Drosophila melanogaster: one gene and its partners. The protein of the gene in region 1 purifies or fractionates together with the protein of each later gene. This does not show direct contact. Each region holds a gene or a part of one and is shown in the gene's direction. Other genes may lie near its edges.

Region 1 (4,981 bases):
AGGACTTGGTAGTCAGCCACCCAATCACGTCGCTGGATAAATAAATAAAGTCTCTACTCAAGTCGCCCACCTGTTTACGTTAATTAATCCGCTAACAAGGTTCCGTTTCAATCCACCCCCAATTCAGAGAAGCGGACGCATAGGATCGAATTGAAAGGGGAGCCACTAACCTTAACAACAGCATCGGACATCTTATCGTTGTAGCTGTATACCTCGTTGAGGAAGTGCAGCTCCTTGAAGTACCACAGCGTACTGATGTTGGTCTTCTCCAGAGCCATGCGATTGCACTCCCGCTTGTATACCGTGCGCAGGTTGTCCCACTTACGGGTGATGGCGTCCTTGGCCAGCGAGATGTTAAACCGGCTCTTGAACTCCAGCACAATCCAGTCGAGGAAGCGGGCGCGCTTAACGCGATCCCGGAACTGTGCATTGCCGTGGTCCCACAAAAAGGGGTTGCGCTGATACGAGTGGATGAGAAACTGGATCATCTTGCGGTCCTTGATGTGCATCGTAACCTCCCGGTCGCGCTAAGGGGTGGGAAAATGATAAAATCATTACAAATAGGTATATATGGATATTAGTGAAAATTAAGGGTGAAATAAATGTAGCTTTTAAATCGATGGGCGAAAATTTTAACAAAAATATCTGTATGTATATAGTATAAAAATATAACTTACTCCCAGCAGGGACTCCTCCACCATCTCATCATAGCTGAGAAAGTCCGATTCGGTTCCGAAACCACTGTGGTTAACGCCGTCGAATCCAGCAAAGTCCATGTACTCTCCGGAATTGTCGTCCATATAGCTGTGATCCGGATCACCGTAGTCGTCCATGGATGAATCGCCGTCACCGGCGATGAGAAGCTCGCTAGACATGTCCCTCTGGCGCTGCTTTGTGACCTTTTTGCGTGCCCGCGTCTTGGAACTGACCACCGGTACATCGCTTTCGGGTAATATGGCCTCGTCCTCATCGGCCTCGGAATCGTTCAGCCGTTGCTCATCGTCGTCTTCTTCGCCGGCGACCACATCATCATCGCTGCAGGGCAGATCCTGGAGCTCTTGTTTGATGACCATTTGGGGCTCCAGCAGCGCTGTGTCCGCGTCCGTTAAGTCTTCGATCTCGTGGAAGTTGGGCAGATCCCCATTACGACCGGACAGGGACATGGGCTCGCCGAGATTGAAGGGGAGACGGGAGGAGGTATTCGCCACGGACTGGTCGCCCAGGTGAACTGTCTGCATGTGGCCGATGAAGGAGTCGAAGTAGAGAAACTTCTCGCTGCAGAAGATGCAACGCAGGGCGAAGTACTGGAAGTCATCTGTGGCCGTCACCATGCCGCAGTCCTTGGTGCAGTGACGGAAAATCTCCTCGTCGTTGGTACGTGGATACGCCAGGACACTCATCGCGCCGCCTGCGGATCCTCGTCCTGTCCGGTTAACAATCAGAATTCAATTAAGTCTCTTGGTACTCTACGCTGCGGTCGGCGCACTCTAGTATTGTGCCTTATTTTGACTTGATTTTATCCCGATTTGGCCAATAAAAAAAAACTTTTTAGTGTTGGGGTTTGGGCGCACGGTTGCATTTCATTTGCTAATCGCCATCGGTGGTCGCAGGTGAGCCGATTAAATTGTGCGGCTTATTTTGCAGTGATTTAGCGGGAAATAGCCATTACTAGCGGGAAATATATTACCACCCTTAAGACCTTCTTTAATACTCATAATCATATAATCTTTGTAAATAACTTAGATATTAAGAATCGCTTAAATTGATACCGATTAAATTAAGTTGCCCAAGAAGGGTAATGGTACGCTAGTCAATAAAATAATTTCGTTTAATAAATTTAAATAAAAAAAAAGATATATATATGAAACATTTTTTAAATGTCATTTTGCATGTAAGCCACCACAACGAAAAATCTAATTAGAAATAAATAAAAGTGTTACAAATTGGAAGTGATTACAATACTATCGATTGTACTGCTTTGAAGTCTCTAGTTGTCTTTCCCCCATCTGGTCACACTTGCCATCTGATTTCTTCGATTCGCCTAACTTTAAGCGTGCTTGGATTTGTGCCGATTCCTATTGATTTATTTTGCCGAGCTAAGAAAATCTCTGTTTAATTGCGACACGCGATGGCTTCGATTAGCTTGCTGAACCCCAAGGCCGAGTTTGCCCGCGCCGCCCAGGCTCTGGCCATCAATATCAGTGCCGCCAAGGGACTGCAGGATGTGATGCGCACCAATTTGGGACCCAAGGGCACCGTTAAGATGTAAGTTACTAAAACCGGCCTCTAATATCCCTCACTTTGCGTTCCATTAGCAATTTGAGTGAGAATGCTAGTTTATAGGCGAAAAAACAAACGTTTTGGTCACAGCTGCGGCAACTGCAAGTTTGAGGTTAGACTGGAACTAGCGGCATGCGTCATCGCAAAAGAAAGAAAGAGAATGTTGCAACTCTGGAGCAAAAAGCTTAGAATTTAGGTGTTTTTATTTAATTTCAAAAAGAATCTTAAATGAAAGATGCCCCCAGAGGCTTTAATTTATTCATAAATGTGTGTTTACCTGCATATCCAGCACCGGGTGATTCAGAAAGTGGCATCGAAAGAGGCGTGACTTGACTCACGCGCCGTGAAAAGTGAAACAAGCATACTAATTCTAGAAACTTCGCAGGTTGGTTTCTGGCGCCGGCGACATCAAGATCACCAAGGATGGCAATGTCCTGCTGCACGAAATGCAGATCCAACATCCGACTGCCTCTATGATTGCCAGGGCCAGCACGGCCCAGGATGATTCCACCGGCGATGGAACCACCACCACTGTGATGCTTATTGGCGAGCTCCTGAAGCAGGCCGATATCTATCTGTCCGAGGGACTGCATCCTCGCATCATGACCGATGGATTCGAGAAGGCACGCGACAAGGCATTGGAGGTGCTCGACCAGGTCAAGGTGCCCGTGGAGATCAACAAGAAGAACCTGGTGGAGGTGGCCAACACAAGTCTGAAGACCAAGGTGCATCCCGCCCTTGCCGATCTGCTTACGGACGTCTGCGTGAATGCCGTGCTGACCATTGCCAGTGCCGATAAGACCAAGCCCGTGGACCTCCACATGGTGGAGCTGATGGAGATGCAGCACAAATCCGATACCGATACACAGCTGGTGCGTGGACTAGTCATGGACCATGGTGCTCGCCACCCGGACATGCCGAAGCGTTTGGAGAATGCCTACATCCTTACGGCCAATGTCTCGCTGGAGTACGAGAAGGCCGAGGTCAACTCTGGCTTCTTCTACAAGACCGCCGAGGAGCGTGAGGCCTTTGTGCGCGCCGAGCGCGAATTCATCGACCAGCGTGTGAAGAAGGTGATCGAATTGAAGCGCTCCGTGTGCGATGGCACCGACAAAACCTTCGTCCTGATCAACCAGAAGGGCATCGACCCCATCTCGCTGGACGCCCTGGCCAAGGAGGGCATCCTGGCCTTGCGTCGCGCCAAGCGCCGCAACATGGAGCGTCTGTCTTTGGCCTGCGGTGGCACTGCAATGAACTCCTTTGACGATCTGCAGGAGGAGCACTTGGGATACGCCGGTGTGGTGTACGAGCATGTTCTGGGCGAGAACAAGTACACTTTCGTTGAGGACTGCAAGAACCCGCTGTCCGTCACGATCCTGATCAAGGGTCCCAACAAGCACACGATCACCCAGATCAAGGACGCCATCAGGGACGGTCTGCGTGCCATCAACAACACCATTGCCGATAAGGCTCTGGTGCCCGGAGCTGGAGCATTCGAGGTGCGCGCGTACAACGAGCTGGTCGCCTTCAAGGACACCATCAAGGGCAAGTCCCGCCTGGCAGTGCAGGCCTTTGCCGATGCCCTGCTGGTCATTCCCAAGACGCTGGCCGTGAACAGCGGCTACGATGCCCAGGACACAATCGTCAAGCTGACTGTTGAGGATCGCCTGAGTCCCGAACTGGTCGGCCTGGATCTGGCCACCGGGGAGCCCATGAAGCCCGTGGATCTGGGCGTCTACGACAACTACATCGTTAAGAAGCAGATCCTCAACTCCTGTTCGATCATTGCCAGCAACCTGCTTCTCGTCGACGAGGTGATGCGTGCGGGCATGACGAGCCTCAAGGGCTAGTCCCCATCATTTCATCCGACCCATTCAATTTAACCAAGTTAATGCACCGCATGCTACTCAACCCGCGTCTCTCAAAGCCACACACAACCAAAAGAAAACTAAACACGTAAATAATTTGGAAACACATGAAATCGGAATGGTTGCGGCTGCAAGTATTCACATTTAAAATACAATTCTAATAAATACAAAAACCAAACACAGCTCTATGCTTAACGCTAATGTATTTTCTATTTTTATTAACACTAATGTTTACTCACTACAAACTTTCATTGGTTTAAAAATAAATGGAAATAGCGATTTAGCCGTGACTCAAACCTCAATATGGGCGGTAATTGGGGAATACCCACAACTACATTTTTTGGGGCCACATGGTATATTTGAAGAGTCCACTGGGTGGTCACACCGCAGTCAACAGTTGTCGCTTTCGCTGGAAAGCAGCTGAAAACAAGTGAATTTCTGAATTAAAAACATTTTCAAACATGTTTTCGGTTACTTGTGTGGCGCCCGTAAACATAGCGCTCATCAAATATTGTGGGTAAATTAATACATATATTATAAGCACATAAACTTATGCACATGCATTCCTTTAAAGGGGGAAAGCGGCACGAAGAGCTAATTCTGCCCGTCAATGATTCCATTAGCATGACTCTGAGCACCGATGAGGTAAATATGAAAGATATTTAAATATTTATTTGCGTTTTAAAACCAACAAATTGTAATTAAAAAATTAAAAAACCTTAGACGCTTTTAATAATGGTTTAAGTTTAAAGTGCGCGTAGTCGAAGTTTTCATTTTCTCACAAATGTAAATATTACGAAAACTTTCTATTTAATTTGGGAAGATCTCACGGA
Region 2 (5,723 bases), on another chromosome or scaffold:
CTGCAAATAATTCTTGTGCCTTATTCAAATGGTGCAGGTAACTTTCAGCATGCATAAACTTTGTACGCAATTTAAAATCTATCCTTCCTTCAGGGTGTCAATTTGATACGGAATGCGTGAATCTGGATAAGTGTCCCAGGACCAGAGCAGTTATGAACTCATCCAGGAAAAATATAATAGGTCTTAGAAGATGCGGCACTAATAAAGTGTGCTGCCCCAAGTGGGAAACGTATCTGCCACACGATACTTGTGGACAATCAAGAAGAAAACCTACGAAGGGCAAAATACCGGCGCTGAATGAGTTTCCCTGGATGGCCATGCTGTTATATGGAAATAAAAACAATTTGTCCCAGAAGCTGGTACCAAAATGTGGTGGATCCCTAATAAACAACTGGTACGTCCTGACCGCAGCGCACTGCGTGGAGTATCCATTTATGGACTATCCGTATGCCCTCAAAACAGTGAGACTGGGCGAACATAACACGTCCACAAATCCCGATCGGGCTATTGTGAATGGAAGAAGACAGTACGCTCCTCTTTATATGGAAATTGAAGTGGACCAAATTATTACGCATGAACAATTCAACCGGGGAAGGCGGCTGATAAACGACATAGCACTCGTGCGTCTTAAGTTTCCTGTGCGGTGAGTAATGATTCTCCTCTGGTCGAAATAGAAGTAGGATATGAATTGAAATAATATATCTTTATATCTTCCTATAGCTATACGAGAGCCATCCAACCTATTTGCCTTCCAAGAGCCCAAAAATTGGCCGCGCATAAGCGAAAGTTTCAAGCATCCGGCTGGCCAGACATGGGACAAGGAATTGCAAGTGAGGTACTCTTGCGCAGCTTCATCGCGGAACGGCATCCAGATGTGTGCAAATCAAATTATGACTTTAATTTGGGCAGTCAGATATGTGCTGGTGGTCTGGATGGGAATGACACCAGTCCCGGCGATTCCGGGGGACCCTTAATGGAGACCGTGATACGTGGAAAGGTCACACTCACTTATGCAGCCGGCATAATCTCCTACGGACAGAAGCCCTGCGTACTTAAAACTTGCAAGCCAGCATTTTACACAAAAACTTCATACTTTTTTGAATGGATAAAATCGAAATTGCAAAGTCCATTTATCGACAGCGACAGCAAATCTCGTACTAGAAAATAAGCAATTTATTTAATTCCTACATTTTATTGCCTCAAAAACTAGTTTAACTGCATCCAGGAAAAGGTTCGGCGCGATTTTTGCGCAGTACGAACTGAATTTTTCGGTTCATGTCCTCGTTGTAAATGGCCTTGCATTTCTCGAAGTTGATGCGACGACGAACCTATACAATAGTTTAATACAGTAAATAATAATAAATAGTTAAGTTATTTAAAGTCGAACCTGATACGGCTTTTCGTAGAATCGCGTGCGGCGAAATTGGTCGAGCAGTTCTTCTTTTCCCAAGACGCGATTTAACAGACGACACGCCTCCTCCACATTATTGTTTTGCACCAGAACGGTGCGGGCCAGAAACTGCACGTGTCTCATTTCGGATAAGTAGTTTTATTTTATAAAGTTTTCCAAATGTTTATTAAATAATCGGCTTTCAAAACAGTGTGACCATTTACTGTACTGCTAAACAGCTGATGAATATCACTAACCAGGGCTAACGATTGCTAATAAGAATCGTGGACTCAGAAGGAGTACTTTGAGAACCACTCAACTTAATAAATAAGAAAAATATTTATTCAACACAGTATTTATTAATGCATTGCCAAAATTATTTCTGTAATGCCCATCACACTTAAGAAATACATATTATATCCCATCAAATTATCAAAAATTGCTAATCACCTGAAAATGACTAAAATACCAGTTTTCGGACCTTTGCGGTGCGAGGCAACCCTGATGTTGTGGTTTTTCTTGCCGTTTGCCGCTCTGGTCACACTGGTTTCCAGTTTTCTTCCTAGCGTGGCGGCCATAGTAAGCTGTTGAAAAGTATTCGACGTAAATTAAATTTGTTGTAAAAGTGAAACTTCCAGGAATCGGGCTGCGAAAGTTACTATTTGCTTTAGGCACGACACGACACGAAAAAAGGTGAGCTGGGGCGGCTCTGGGCTAATTAAGATTACCACCTGATTTTGCACATTTCGTCTCGCATTGTGCGGTTTGCCAATGTGTGTGTCTACTTGGTAGACACTTCCTTTGCGCTTGGTTTTCTCATCTCTGTCGTTAAGTAATCATCGATAATTGTTTTTTGTCAGAGAATTTGCCTTCGATTTTTGGCATTAGATTTGCAAAATCGATGGCCATCTAGCTTTTTTTCTCTTCTTTGTTCAATCGAATTCTTCTGACGCAGCGTCTTGCGCGGCACATGTTGGTACGCATACAAGCGCAAAGTCTGGTGCATGTGTGTGCTAGGCACTGGTGAAAATATAATAATTGTATCTATTGATTTGCCTGCTAAATCGAAGGCTGCTTCTAGAATTCATTTCCATTCTTATTTTCGACTCTGCCCTTTCTCCTTTCATTTGTTCCCCTTTTCGTTCTTTTACGGTTTTTTCATTATTACCCTCTCCGCTTTGCAGTCGCCGTTCGCAAAACCAGGGCTGCAATGCGCTGACGAAAACTTCTAGAAACTGTGTGTATGTGTGCGTGCGAAAGAGAAGCGGTTGTTGTCGAAAGGGGGAAAGAGAGCGTCAGCTGCTCGCCGTATTGAAATACGACAATTGTTCTAGAAAATCGACTAGAAAACGTCGCAGTTATTTTCGCGAACACATGGCGGCGTAACGACCTTGAATCCCGGGCTCTAGCTTCCGGCAATGCCTACTATTTTCCGTTGCCCCCCAAATTACACGGAAAAAAATGGGTGATGGCATCAAGTCACAGCTGTAGAAATCAATAAACAAGAAAGGGTCATATGATCGAGTGGTTTCTGGATTTTGAAAAATGTATTTCTACAAAAAAAAATGGGTAACAAAATATAGGTTACTGATTTTTGTTTACAATACTAGTTAGAGAGGAATCAGCCCTTTGAACTATGAAATGTCATTAGATATAAAACTGACAATAACTTCCATCGGGAACCTAGCTGCCATAGAAACAGCACCACAAAATAAATTTTTTTTTTTCATTTTTTATAAGAACTGGCATCCAAATCGGTTGAAACTTCAAAAATTTTCGGTATTACACAACTTCATAATTTCTACCTATATATGCCTGGAGCATACACAAATCTGTTCCCCAATCTGTTATTTACAAGCTCCCAGATAGTAATTACGCACTACTTCGTCTGTTCACAGTAAACAGCAAACAAAATGGTTAAGGAGACTGGATATTATGATATACTTGGCGTGAAGCCTAATGCCACGCCCGACGAGCTGAAGAAGGCTTACCGCAAGCTGGCCCTCAAGTACCATCCGGACAAGAACCCCAACGAGGGCGAGAAATTCAAGGCCATTTCGCAGGCTTACGAAGTGCTGTCCGATGCGGACAAGCGACAGGTGTACGACGAAGGCGGCGAGGCGGCCATCAAGAAGGGCGGCGCAGATTCCGGTGACTTCCGCAATCCTATGGACTTCTTTGAGAAGTTCTTTGGCGCTGGATTCGGAGGTAGTGGCGGTGGACGCAGGCGCGAGAGGCGTGGCAAGGACGTGGTGCACCAGATGTCCGTACAGCTGGAGGAGCTGTACAATGGAGCGACCCGCAAGCTGCAGCTCCAGAAGAATGTGATCTGCGACAAGTGCGAGGGTCGCGGCGGCAAGAAGGGCAGCATTGAGAAGTGCTTGCAGTGCCGTGGTAACGGTGTGGAGACACGGGTTCAGCAGATCGCCCCCGGCATCATGCAGCACATCGAGCAGGTGTGCCGCAAGTGTTCGGGAACTGGCGAGACCATTCAGGAGAAGGACCGCTGCAAGAACTGCAGTGGCCGCAAAACGGTGCGGGAACGCAAGGTATTGGAAGTGCACATTGAGAAGGGAATGCGGGATGGCCAGAAGATCGTGTTCACGGGAGAGGGCGATCATGAGCCGGAATCTCAGCCGGGCGATATTATTATTCTTTTGGACGAGAAGGAGCACTCCACATTCGCGCACGCCGGACAGGATTTAATGATGAAGATGCCGTTGCAACTTGTCGAAGCGCTCTGCGGATTCCAGCGAATCGTTAAAACGCTCGATGATCGCGATCTGATTGTGTCCACACAGCCCGGCGAGGTTATCAGGCATGAGATGACCAAGTGTATTGCCGAGGAGGGTATGCCCATTTTCAAGAACCCCATGGAGAAGGGCACGTTGATCATCCAGTTCGAGGTGATCTTCCCGGAGGTGATCAATCCGTCGGTGGTGCCCACGCTTAAACAGTGCCTACCCCCGGCGCCGGAGGTTGACATTCCAATCGATGCAGAGCAGACGGTTTTGGTGAGTATTTCAGTAGTAGTTTATATCACGATATATAAATAATATATTATTTATAATTAATTTATTTATCGATTTGCTTATCTTTCGCAGGAGGACTTTGATCCCAAGCAACGTCGCCAGCAACACCAGCGCATGGCCTACGATGAGGACGATGGCGGCTATCAGGATGGCCCACGCGTCCAGCAGTGCACATCGAGTTAAGCGCCCCCGCTGCGTGTTGCATCCCCGGACACACAGCCCTAATAATACCCCAACCAACAAGCCGTAATAATATGTAAACCAGCTCCCGGAACACTGTAATTGCGCTTGCAAGTGCCGAAGAACTCCCAAAAGCACCTTAAAACACCATCCAATTCACACTAGGAGGCCCAACCAATCGAGAGATCTAAAGTTATTTCATGCAAGCTACGATATTTAGGTATAAATCAAAGAAACTTATCAGATATATGCACTATGTCTATAACGCGTGGTTGTTTGTAAACCAACATTTTTCTTTATGTTTATGTTGCGTTGGATTGTCAAAGAATCGAAAACGGAAACTGAAACTAAACTAAACTGAAATTGAAATTAGCCGCCACTAGAACCGTATCTAAAGTCCGCGCCAGCGAACACGTCTAGGAACAAGTTTAAGTTATTTAATTCCAGCATAAATAAAAGCGTTAGTTTAAACGGATATAACAAATAAATAATTAATACACAATTTCAACCCAAATGCTGTATATTCTTCTTCCCATAGTTCCAGTATCACTTGCCTTCCTCCGGCTATCTATTGATTCCATAATCGCTGCATAGTCACCCGCAGGTGTGAATCATTCGAATAATGCCAATTGGAGATATCAGGCATATGGCAGTAGTTTCGTCTTGAGTACATTATTTAAAATGCTATCTGGGATAAGTAAAAGATAAAAAGAAAGATAAGGATAGTTTGGGATATATATGGTAATGCCATTAAATCGTTAAGGATATAATGAGGGATTTTGTAGTTGTTGAGGATTATAAAGCATCCTATAAATGAATCTGCGGACCTGCCTGTCGCAAGGAATAACATCAAAAGCAAATTCAAAATGTAAAATGTTTTGTAAATTTATTTACAAAATTTCAAAATGAACTACAACATAATCTGGTGGAAACTAGTGCGCAAAGTTTCGGAGAGCGGCCACAACTCCAGTTCCATAGATGAGCTTCTCCTCCACACGCTGCCAAGCCTCCTGCTGCACCTGGGACACAGTGCGCAGCTCCTTTACCAAATCCGGGAACTCCGTCAACCCGAGACCGTGGGATCGCAAGAAGACGCTTAGATACGATTGAGCCAGCTCAAA
Region 3 (5,476 bases), on another chromosome or scaffold:
GTAATAAATTTATGTATGTAGTCTCGACTTCGGATCGCGCATAGAAAAGTGCGTTTTGAATTTAATTTTCCATATCTTCAATTTAGGAATTGAAAACTTTTAGACGGGCCATGCGGGTTCTGCCAGAAAACGTCACGAAATATGTATAAATTGCTTAATTTGTGATAAGCATTTATGGTGGCCCGGGCGATCCCAGTTTCCAAGTCGGTCTCCGTTGGGCCATGTGAAAAGTGCACCACTTTCACTATTTCCCTACTTCATTTTCCCATTGCCGATCCGAGATCAAATTAAAGTGCCAGAGTCGGTGCTTATCTGGGGTGGTCTCTTTTGAGGGAACGCAGAACATACATAGATGATTATCGGGCACAAACAATAATGCGGAAAATTGGTTTTATTAAGATGGATAACCGAAATTTACAATAAGTGTAAGCAAGGAAATTCTATTCGTTTGGCATTCTATTCGTGGAGTGGAAAGTGTTTGAAATAAAAGATCACATACTAATAAACATATAAGTACAGTAAGTAAACAAGAAGACGGACATAGCTAACGGGCCGGGCCAGACCCCCCGAAAACCTTAGCCCCAGCAATAACAGCAATCCAACTCTCGGACCGAACTGATAATTCCCCCATATGTGCAGGCGGGATTGGATTGGGAGCTCGCTTCTATACATATATATATATATATATTTATGTATGTAGACTAGACCGCAGCACATTATGTACAAATACGTAGCTTTAGGATCGACCACTTCCACTTGGAGACTTGTCCGTTCTGTCTTTCTCTTTCCAATTCTGTTTCAGTTCAGTTTCTGTGGCTGCGACTCTGACTGTGCAAATTATTGTCGCTCACATAAAAAAATATTGCAGGCCAGCGCCATTCAGAGGCGAGCAATGCCGGAAGTTCAACTAACTCATTTCCGGTTGTCAGTATGTACATATGTGTGCCGCCCGAGAATCTCAAAATATATGTAGATGTACGTATGTATGTAGTACATGCGGTGTGCGGTAAGCATGGTCTTGCGGTATATGTATGTACTGCGTCTTCCTTATCGAGTGAGCTTTCCCGCATTCGAGAATCGATTCGTTTCCAGATGATTATGTAGATTATTATGCCGAAGCAGTATTTTACGGTTTGTTCTAATTTTGGGACTCTTATGCCGCAATTTTTTTTAGCGATAAATTGAAATGGAATTCGGAAACCATAATCAGAAAAACGATTTATTGACTGAGATAGAACTATTCAAACAAATAACGATTATCGACACTCCAAAAACCATAAGATAAAGCCGGTCAAATGCCAATCTAGGTTAAAGCTCCGAAGCTTTCGACCCATTCATGCATTCCATTCATTCAGAACCGAAAGCAGGCGCATTTCATTGAGAGACTCGTCGCTGCGCAAATACATTCTCAATTAAGTTGTAAACATTGTGAGATCTTTTTCATTGCGTATTGAGCACATGCACTTCCGCTTATCATTAAAGATTTGAACCGAATTTGGGTCACCAAAAAGCTGTCCGAACTGCGGTTCTAGTTATTTATGACGATGTAGTTGTACGCATTGTACTGAAGTTTGTTGTTATCAAACGTTTGCTTTTCGAGTTTAAAATTAATTTTGAATCTGCTCCGTTTATCAGTCAAGTAAAATGTCAACTTATCTACATGTAAATTTTACAGAAGCACATGGCAGTGATGCCAGATCATATAAGATTATTATCTTGGGGATAGAATGCGTTACAAAATTACATTGCATTATGAATTTGGCGTTATTCTCTTATCATATGTTTAATTAATTACGATTTGTGATTTTATACGCTTTATAATGAAAACTATTTTTTTACCACCCCTATTCGCGTCTCCAGAATGTTTTCACATTTAAACACCGATATGGGCGCACTTCTTGTTTTAAGTTGTTCATATCGATAGACAGCCAAGAAATTTATCGAGACGAATCCCACTGTGCCAGGTAGCTGAAAAATCGGCGAATATGGCAGCGTCGAACGAGCCATGTCGCGTGGCAACGCTACCACTTTGTTTACTTTTATTCGGAGAGCGAAGTGAAGAGCACCTGGAAATTGCATTAATGGGCATGGAATCGGGAGCCAAAGGTCAGCGGCGATAAGGATGCACTTCGAGGTGACCCCGGCCGTCCGTCGACCAAGTCAGCCTGCTGCTAGCACTTGAATTAAAGTGACAGGAGAGCTCCGAGCCCACCAAACCACCGAAACTGATAAGAAGTGCGCGTTCGGAGAACGGAGAACAAGTTAAATAGGCTCCGTGGAGAGCCACCAGTTCAGTTGGCCAGCGACCGCAGATCAAAACAGACGTACGACAACACAGATGAATGAGGAAGAGTGCAAGAAACGGGTTAGCACACGATAGCACTCAACGGTCAGCGATCTTTGGCATCTTCATCTACACCATCATCTGCAATCTCGTCGGAGATCAGAGGCGTTGTTTTTAGGCATCGGAATCCGAGGCGGAATCGTTTCAAGGGCACGTCTCTTGCGTCTAGCTAAACTCAATCTGATTCACTGAGCGGGGATTCTCTACCATAATCACCTGTAAACAGGTGAGTTACCCGTTTTTCGCCAAGCAGACGGCTATTTCGCACGCCTGCCGAACGATTTTGGTGACGTCAATAAGAACTGGGCACTCGTGTGGCCTAATTTCGTGTGTTTTCCCCTTTCGCCACTTAGGATGGCCCCACCCACGGTCCTGGTCACCGGAGGAGCCGGCTACATTGGCTCCCACACGGTTCTGGAGATGCTCAATGCGGGCTACAACGTCATCTGCGTGGACAACCTGTGCAACGCCTACAGCAGCGGGGCCAAACTGCCGGAGGCCCTCAGCCGGGTGCAGGAAATCACCGGCAAGAAGGTCAACTTCTATAGAGTGGACATCACGGACAGGGAGCAGGTGCGCTCCGTCTTCCAGGAGGTGAGCACACGTAGCATTACATAGCTGGCACGTCAGCAGTTCGGAGGTTCTGGGGCAAATGTGCCAACTGGATACCATTCAATCAAGCTTATCTGGCATGCGCGCTATCAGCTTTTTTCTCGTTCGCGCTTGTTTTGTTGTTTGCTCAAGTGGCGGGGCACTTCCGACGAACCGCCGTGCTGATCGACCCTGAATGAAAGACCCACTTGGCGAGGTCGCATTCGAGTTGGTGCGCTGGCATCCACATCCACAACAGCTCCCGGGCACGTACACTACAATCTGGGTGGTCGGGAGCCCAGATTGCAGTGTTTACATCCATTGATAACCAAGAGAATTCGCTAATTCGAGCAGGTTATCACGCATTCTTGAGATGTTCGATCAAAGGGGTTTTTTTTGTTAACCACCGTCGTTTATAAAAAACAAAGCGTTTATTTACATGTAATGAACATTATAAAAATGCACGTTGTTGCCCAAATAGCCATGAAATATCTTAAGCTGATACTTTTTCATATTTTTATTCAACCATAAATGCACACAGCTTTGTGCTTACGCGCACTGATTACTGAATAGATTGAGCAGTATTTGTTGTGGTGGAATTTTTTACCTAATCAGCACTATCAACAGCTATTTAAAGAACACATAATTGTTTGTCAATAAATCACCTTGAAATCAATGTGATACTTTCATTTAATTGCTATTAAATTCTGCACTTTACGTTTATAAGAGGCAATATCCTTGTGCTTACTGAAGAGCTGGTTATTACAGATTTGGATTTCCCAAACTAATAGGTACATATATTTACATCCCTTTCAGCACAAAATCGACATGGTGGCCCACTTTGCCGCCCTGAAGGCCGTGGGTGAGTCCTGCCGCATACCTTTGCAGTACTACCACAACAACATGACCGGCACCAATGTCCTGCTGGAGGCGATGGCCGACAACAATGTCTTCAAGTTCGTGTACAGCTCCAGCGCCACCGTATACGGTGAGCCAAAGTTCCTGCCCGTGACCGAGGAGCATCCCACGGGCAACTGTACATCGCCCTACGGCAAGACTAAATATTTCACCGAGGAGATTCTCAAGGATCTGTGCAAGTCTGACAAGGTAGGAGGATGTCATTTCTTGATGTCCATAAGTTCTGTACTAAAGAATTCGCTCTTTCAGCGTTGGGCAGTGGTTTCGCTGCGGTACTTCAACCCGGTGGGTGCCCACATCAGTGGTCGGATTGGCGAGGATCCGAACGGCGAGCCCAACAACCTGATGCCCTACATCGCACAGGTGGCCGTGGGTCGACGTCCCAGCCTGAGTGTCTACGGCAGCGACTTTCCCACGCACGACGGCACCGGCGTGCGCGATTACATCCACATCGTGGACCTGGCCGAGGGACACGTAAAGGCGTTGGACAAGCTGCGCAACATCGCGGAGACGGGCTTTTTCGCCTACAATTTGGGCACCGGCGTGGGCTACTCGGTGCTGGACATGGTGAAGGCGTTTGAGAAGGCCTCCGGCAAGAAGGTCAACTACACTCTGGTGGACCGACGGTCCGGAGATGTGGCCACTTGCTATGCGGACGCCACGTTGGCGGATAAGAAGCTGGGCTGGAAGGCCGAGCGTGGCATCGACAAGATGTGCGAGGACACGTGGCGCTGGCAGAGCCAGAACCCAAACGGGTATGCCAACAAGTAGAGCTGTATATCGCCACGTTCCTGCCGCTCCGCAAGTTCCTGAGTTACTACGCCTGATAATGGCTCAGGTAGCAATTTCTATTTGCCTCTAGTTGTGTATATTTCTTTCCAAATTTCGTGTAGTATTCGCTCACTTCGATGTGTGCAAGTGTGCGTATGTAATCCAAAGTACTTTGTAATTAAAAAGGCTTTTCGCTGTTGTCATGTAATTTTGTGACCGTCATTTACGCGTTTGGTGACCGCTGGCATCATTGACGCGTGCCAATTGGCGCAATCACGTAATTAAGGTCACCGACAAGGTGGCACTGGGAGATTACACTTGGCATTAGGTAAAATAAACACACAACTGCATCAACCATTTGTCAGATCTTAATCAAAAATGGCATAATCACATTAAGCTGACCAAAGTTACAAGAAGACGTCTAACTCGCACATTTATTTAGCAAACATTTATTCAAATGCAATATAACATTAAAAACTCAATTTTAAACTTAAGTGATGCGCCTTCTTCGCACATATCTGCACAGTTAAAGTCATTTATCACAAGTATGTACTATGAATGTATGTTTCTTTCAACAACTCTGCGTTCGGCTGCTGCTTCTGTTTGGTTTTGGAATGGTCTGCACGTATAAAAGTACAAAATTGTTTATATTCGAGCCTGTTGTTTCTGGGAGTGTTTGTTTGTATCGGTATTTGGCAATCTGTTTTACACTTAGGAGCTTGGCGATTCGTTCAACAAGTGATGGAGAGGCAAAGAAATCGAATTCAACAAGAAGCATTACTAGGTGCTACATTTACGTCTGGCTACATGTGTGTGCGATATGCATACGTAATGAATTAATATGTATAATAT
Region 4 (5,497 bases), 7.8 Mb from region 1:
AAGTAGTAAAATAATTGTTTTACATAAAAAAAAATAATCATTTTTCACTTGGGTAATCCGCAAAGTAAACAAAAGAACTTAATCTTCAGCTTAAAAGTGCCAAAGTTTGAGTTGGGTAAAAGTTTGCAATGTGATTAAGGCATGAGGTGGAGACTCACATGTGGTCGACGTGGAACCCGAGCCGATGTGATGGAGTGAGGAGTATATAATCGCCAGTATCCAAAACAGCCTCGATCTCATCACTGCAGCGGAGTGTCTTCATATGCCGACTTACGGGATACGGTAACAGGATGCGGGATGATGCATCGACTGGCGCCACTCGCCGCAGGATATGCACATATGAACGAACGCCCCTCTAAACTGTTCTATATCGATCCAAGTCCAACTGCATCAGCGTCCCACTGCATCGCCAGCGATGATTCCACGGACTTCACTTCGCTTCGCTTATCGATTGCCCTGCGGCAAAATATTGCTGGACATATTGCACTCAAGTATCTTCTTTTTCAGAGTGTCCTTTTCGATTATATATGTATATTTACTTTTTCTTTTTCTCTTTTTTGTTGATTTCTTTGCACACTTTTCAGCGCGCGGATGGAGGCTGGAGGGATAGGAATGTCGGACAATTGGAAAATCGGAAAAGCGCTTATTAACCAGCTCGTGTTGCGTGTGTATTTATCCTTTTGCAACTGCTGCTCGGATGGCCAATAAACGGGAATGTAGGTCAGGGCATGCTCTGCGCATGGCCAGCATCCGCATCCCTATTATTTCATCCGAAGGAATCCCTCTACCCGAGCAACAACAACAAATAGCAGACGCCACTCACCTCTCAAGCTCAAAATAATGCAATCTTCAAGATTGTTTTAAAAAGAAAAAGACTTTTCTTTTCTTCTTTTGTTTGCATTTGTCCAGGAAAAAAGCTCTTTTCGGCGGATGGTTCTGATAAATATTTAACAATATAAAAGTTGCTTTTGCCGGTCCTTCGGCGTTGTTGTTCCCTCACCCACACTTGCTTCGGCACTGAATCCGCTCCGAAAGGCCAGCATCTCTCTCGGCATTCTTGCAATCCAGGGATTTCTACCCACCAAACAAGGTCCTTTGAATCCGTATAGCTCGGCATGCAAATAAATCGGGCGATTGAGCTCAGAAATACCTGTATTTTACTAATTGTTAAGAGCCTAGAGTAAAAATACAGATAAACTACCATTCTTTTACTGTCAAATTAAGCTTCAAATTCGAAATTCGATAAGTAACCGATATTTATCGATAGGCAAAGGATTACCCTCGCACATACGCGATCCGCTATAGCCATCTCGCTCCATCAATAATTTACCGTTAATATAGCGGGCTTTACTCAGAAACATCAAAAATATTTAACGACTTTAATTGTAGCATTCGCTGCGTTAAATTGTTTATCGCACTTTCTGCTTCCTGCGCATGTGCAGGAAATTAGTCAGACTATTTCGGTGATTGCCCCATTCTGGCGTGTATTGGTGAGAGCATAGAACTTACACTGCCCTCCTATGATATACATATGCATGCTTTTTTCGCTTTTAAATAAACTAATTAATAGACTAGTAAAAGAAGGATATACGGTAATGAACCTGTGAACCCTTAGGCGGAAAACTATTGCTGAATTTACATTTCATCCCTCTTTTAAAATCAGCTAGTGCAACATAACGGTTCTTGGTGTGATAAATTTTTGCGCTCACTGTTTGCAGCCGCCCTTATCTTTCGCTTTTTGGTGGTGTGCGTGAGCGCTATGAAATGACATAAGTGGGCACACAACACAGACACACACCCCTCTGAGGGGGGCACATGGATACGAAAAAGAACCGTTCATTTGCTTTTGTGCCGTTGACAATTGACATTCAATCGCTTTTTCCATTTGTTTTTATTTTCCCCCTTCTACCCTAAGTTTCTCCTTTCAAAGAAAACGCATTTGGAATACAAATCAGGCAAAAAACACGCGTACATAAATCGAGTAATCGAAAATCAGTGGCGATTTCGAAGGGTGTGTGTGTGTGTAGAATTACTACAACACACCACAAATACAGTTCGAAAAGGCAGCGCAGTCGGCAGAGGCGAAAAAAAAGCAGCGGCGTCAGCATTTCCATTTCGGCATTGCAGCTCGAAAATCGTAGAATCAGAAACTAATCAGCCGGCAGAGGCTATAGCAGTCGACCGATCGCAATCGCACCATATAGTACATACAATAGGTACCATTGCCTAGGAGTACCAGGAACCAGGAACCACTAATCTCCATCATCAACATCATGGAGGAGAACAACTCGCAAGTGCTGAGCCTGCTGGGCGGTCTGGCCATCGGAATCGTGGGCTTCCAGGTCTTCCGGAAGGTCCTGCCCTGGATTTACGCCAATGTTGTTGGCCCCAAGGTCTTTGGCTCCTCGGTGGATCTCTCCAAAATGGGCGAGTGGGCAGGTGAGTCGGTTGCCATGGAAAAACATGCCGGAAAGGAGCGGAAACGGGGTCGATTCCGAGTGCACAGTGAAAAAATGAATAGCAAGTTTGCTAAAGAAGTGTAGTTAAAAAGATTAAAGACCCTTTTACAATTAAATTGTGAAGAAAGGGAATTTCCAAATTGCAAACACTCTACTTTCAAGTTTTCCAATTTTGCATTAACTGCCTAAAGGAATACACTATATATCTTTCCAAAATGGAGTTCAGTACTTTTTTCACTGTGACCGATAAGATCGTTCCCCACGCCCCATAAATCCACTGATAACCCACAGAACTATTGGCTAACTTTTTCGACTTTCAGTTGTCACCGGGTCGACCGATGGAATTGGCAAGGCCTACGCCAAGGAGGTATGTACACAAAGATGACATGGAAGGGCTGCCCCAATCTTGACCAGCGCAAGCAAAGTCCGTCCAAGCTCGACCGATGATTATAGTAAAATGGGAAACGGGTCAAGCAAACAAACAAACAAAAAACGATAGTAATAATGAGCAATTAGTAATTACTAATTACCGAATTGAGTGTCGCCCACGATGACTTGGACATTGGTTTAGCGGTCGCCAATGCATTAGCCAAGTGAATCTGCACTTTGAAATCGATCTTCAGTCAACAGTCCAGTCGCAAACAGTCCCTAATAGTGTTTGCTTGACTGCAAATCGCTACATTTGTACTTTTCGTTATTTATTTTTACAAAGTGCAATCGCAGTTGATTTTTCTACCTTTTGTGGTAATTTTTTTTTTTTTTTGCCAGTTTTATTTTGTAATACACAGACTTGGAGCAAACGAAGCTAGAAGCTATAGGGAACACGTGTCCCCTGAATGGCAATTACTTTATAGAGTGGAGCACAGGGCCCCGATCGAAGCTTGTGCCAAATTAGCATTCGGCGTGCGTCGAACGCACAGAAAATGGTTCAATGTTCACACCCAATTTCTATTCATATACACGCTTAGTACACTTAAATGACTTCCTGTTCTTAAAATCTACGGGTTACTCGTCTTTGAAACTCCTGCTTTAGGTAGAAACGTTCAGTGTTCCCATTCCAAAGCACCATTGCTTTTTATCTCTGACCTAAGAATTTACTATCCAAAAGTACGTAAATATGAGCAGGCTAATAAATATTTAATCACTTTCAGTTGGCTCGCAGGGGCTTGAAACTGGTGCTGATTAGTAGATCCCTGGAGAAACTGAATGTGGTGGCCAAGGAGATAGGTAAGTCTGCTCACTAAAATACAGTTAACAACTTCAACTAACAACTGCTCTTTGCGGTCTACTTTCAGGCGATAAATACGGTGTGGAGGTGCGTGTGATCGATGTGGACTTCACCGGCGGTGACGAGATCTACGATAAGATCCGCGAAAAGACCACTGGCCTCAATGTCGGAGTGCTGGTCAACAACGTGGGCATCAGCTACGGCCATCCCGAGTACTTTCTGGACTGCTACAAAGCCGATCCCCCATTCCTGCGCAACATTGTGGCTGCCAATATCCACTCGGTGACGCACATGACCGCACTTTTTCTACCCGGCATGATTAGCCAGCGACGTGGTGTGATCATAAATGTATCGTCCACCGCCGGAGTCATTCCTAATCCGCTGCTGAGCGTGTACAGTTCCACCAAGGTGAGTGGATATCATCAGAAGTGATAGAAGGCTAATTACTAATACCTATAATTTGCAGGCCTTTGTGAACAAATTCAGTGATGACCTGCAGACGGAGTACAAGGAGCACGGCATCCTCATCCAGAGCGTCCAGCCGGGCTTTGTGGCCACAAATATGTCTAAGATCCGAAAGGCTAGCGTGTTTGCTCCCTCGCCGGAAACGTATGTCCGCTCGGCGCTGTCCACCCTGGGCATTGCCACCCAGACGGCGGGCTATCTGCCGCATGCTCTACTCCAGCTGGTCATCCACTTCACGGAGGCGGTGTTCGGCGAACAGTTCGCACGCAACATCGTTATGAAGAACATCCTGGGCACCCGGAAACGTGCCCTGCGCCGCCTGGCCAAGGAACAGTAGATTATTGAGGATGAATACGGCGGAGGAGGCATTTAATGGGAATCGGTTGGGATGATGAGTGGGTCAGTTGGGTTGTGGGGAAAATCCGGCTAGTCAAATAGCTTACGTAATTACCGCGTGTCATACGAATCCACAAACAGATAGCTTGAAATACCAAAAAAAAAAACATTTTTCCGAAATAAACTAAGTTTAGTTAGTTTTTGTCATTAATTAGCATTGAAGATTCGCAAACAGCCATGTCATGTAAACAATAAAAAATGTGTTACTAGATATATGTATATATCTAGTTTCCAATGATAAATAACGCCTTTTATTTGCAGTCCTTTATTTTGTATTTAACTTCTTATTTGTTCTTGCTAGCGATTTTTCTTTTTCCCTATGATTTTTCATGTTTTTCGGATCCAATTTGAATTTGAATTGGATGTGTCGATAACGGCAATAGCTATCGATTGGTCATCGATAGGCGCGCCCTTCGGCTAATCGGCGAGATGGGAATGACAGAAAGAGATACAACACTTCGCGCAGGGCGAAGAAGCAAAGCAAAGGGCAAAATTCATAAACATAACAGTAAAGATAGTGTATAGCCGGGCGTGAAATGTAATGAATCGGATTCATGACGTGACGTGTTATCAGGGCCAGCCCAATCCCAACTGCGCAGCAGCAGCGACAGCAACAACAATAACAACAACACATCAAGCTGAATCGAAGGAGCGTGTAATCAGTAATCAGAGTCGCTTGTTTTGATTTCCTTTCCTCGGAAACGAATCAACACGAAACGAGACGAGACGATTCGAAACGAAATGAAATCAAAACTCCGCTCCGGATAAAGCTGGTCAAACCAATCAACTTGTTGCGGATCCGCAGCGTCGCCCAGTATTGATTTGGCGCATATTGCCGACAGTTGTGGTTCCGATTTCGATTCCCAGCCAGCTGTCTCTCTGCCCATATATTTCAATATACGACGGACGCTTCTCCAAAAGCCGATACAATACTGTGCGATACCATATT

The links.
Region 2: the proteins of CCT6 (region 1) and Droj2 purify together in Drosophila melanogaster (affinity purification with mass spectrometry, with the first as the bait; one large-scale study listed by BioGRID). This does not show direct contact.
Region 3: the proteins of CCT6 (region 1) and Gale purify together in Drosophila melanogaster (affinity purification with mass spectrometry, with the first as the bait; one large-scale study listed by BioGRID). This does not show direct contact.
Region 4: the proteins of CCT6 (region 1) and spidey purify together in Drosophila melanogaster (affinity purification with mass spectrometry, with the first as the bait; one large-scale study listed by BioGRID). This does not show direct contact.

The regions. Positions count from the first base shown.
Region 1 is NC_004354.4:15,744,643-15,749,623, forward strand, and holds CCT6 (chaperonin containing TCP1 subunit 6), read left to right. Parts: upstream 1-2,005; 5' UTR 2,006-2,128; coding exon 2,129-2,265; intron 2,266-2,665; coding exon 2,666-4,130; 3' UTR 4,131-4,329; downstream 4,330-4,981. Other genes in the region: CG8944 (uncharacterized protein), read right to left, coding at 171-527, 678-1,400; Mvd (mevalonate diphosphate decarboxylase), read left to right, coding at 4,610-4,661, 4,723-4,793.
Region 2 is NT_033777.3:13,380,176-13,385,898, forward strand, and holds Droj2 (DnaJ-like-2), read left to right. Parts: upstream 1-1,930; 5' UTR 1,931-1,969; exon of another isoform or gene 1,970-2,028; 5' UTR 2,029-2,083; intron 2,084-2,646; exon of another isoform or gene 2,647-2,937; intron 2,938-3,089; exon of another isoform or gene 3,090-3,288; 5' UTR 3,289-3,303; coding exon 3,304-4,404; intron 4,405-4,494; coding exon 4,495-4,605; 3' UTR 4,606-5,108; downstream 5,109-5,723. Other genes in the region: CG8870 (uncharacterized protein), read left to right, coding at 1-37, 94-643, 721-1,168; mRpS21 (mitochondrial ribosomal protein S21), read right to left, coding at 1,212-1,328, 1,388-1,534; CG9799 (uncharacterized protein), read right to left, coding at 5,535-5,723.
Region 3 is NT_037436.4:646,482-651,957, forward strand, and holds Gale (UDP-galactose 4'-epimerase), read left to right. Parts: upstream 1-2,073; 5' UTR 2,074-2,570; intron 2,571-2,697; 5' UTR 2,698-2,698; coding exon 2,699-2,938; intron 2,939-3,751; coding exon 3,752-4,042; intron 4,043-4,102; coding exon 4,103-4,624; 3' UTR 4,625-4,830; downstream 4,831-5,476. UniProt on the Drosophila melanogaster protein: Catalyzes two distinct but analogous reactions: the reversible epimerization of UDP-glucose to UDP-galactose and the reversible epimerization of UDP-N-acetylglucosamine to UDP-N-acetylgalactosamine.
Region 4 is NC_004354.4:7,907,099-7,912,595, forward strand, and holds spidey (spidey), read left to right. Parts: upstream 1-1,832; 5' UTR 1,833-2,273; coding exon 2,274-2,439; intron 2,440-2,779; coding exon 2,780-2,826; intron 2,827-3,610; coding exon 3,611-3,686; intron 3,687-3,754; coding exon 3,755-4,095; intron 4,096-4,153; coding exon 4,154-4,489; 3' UTR 4,490-4,787; downstream 4,788-5,497. Other genes in the region: dpr14 (defective proboscis extension response 14), read right to left, coding at 159-240.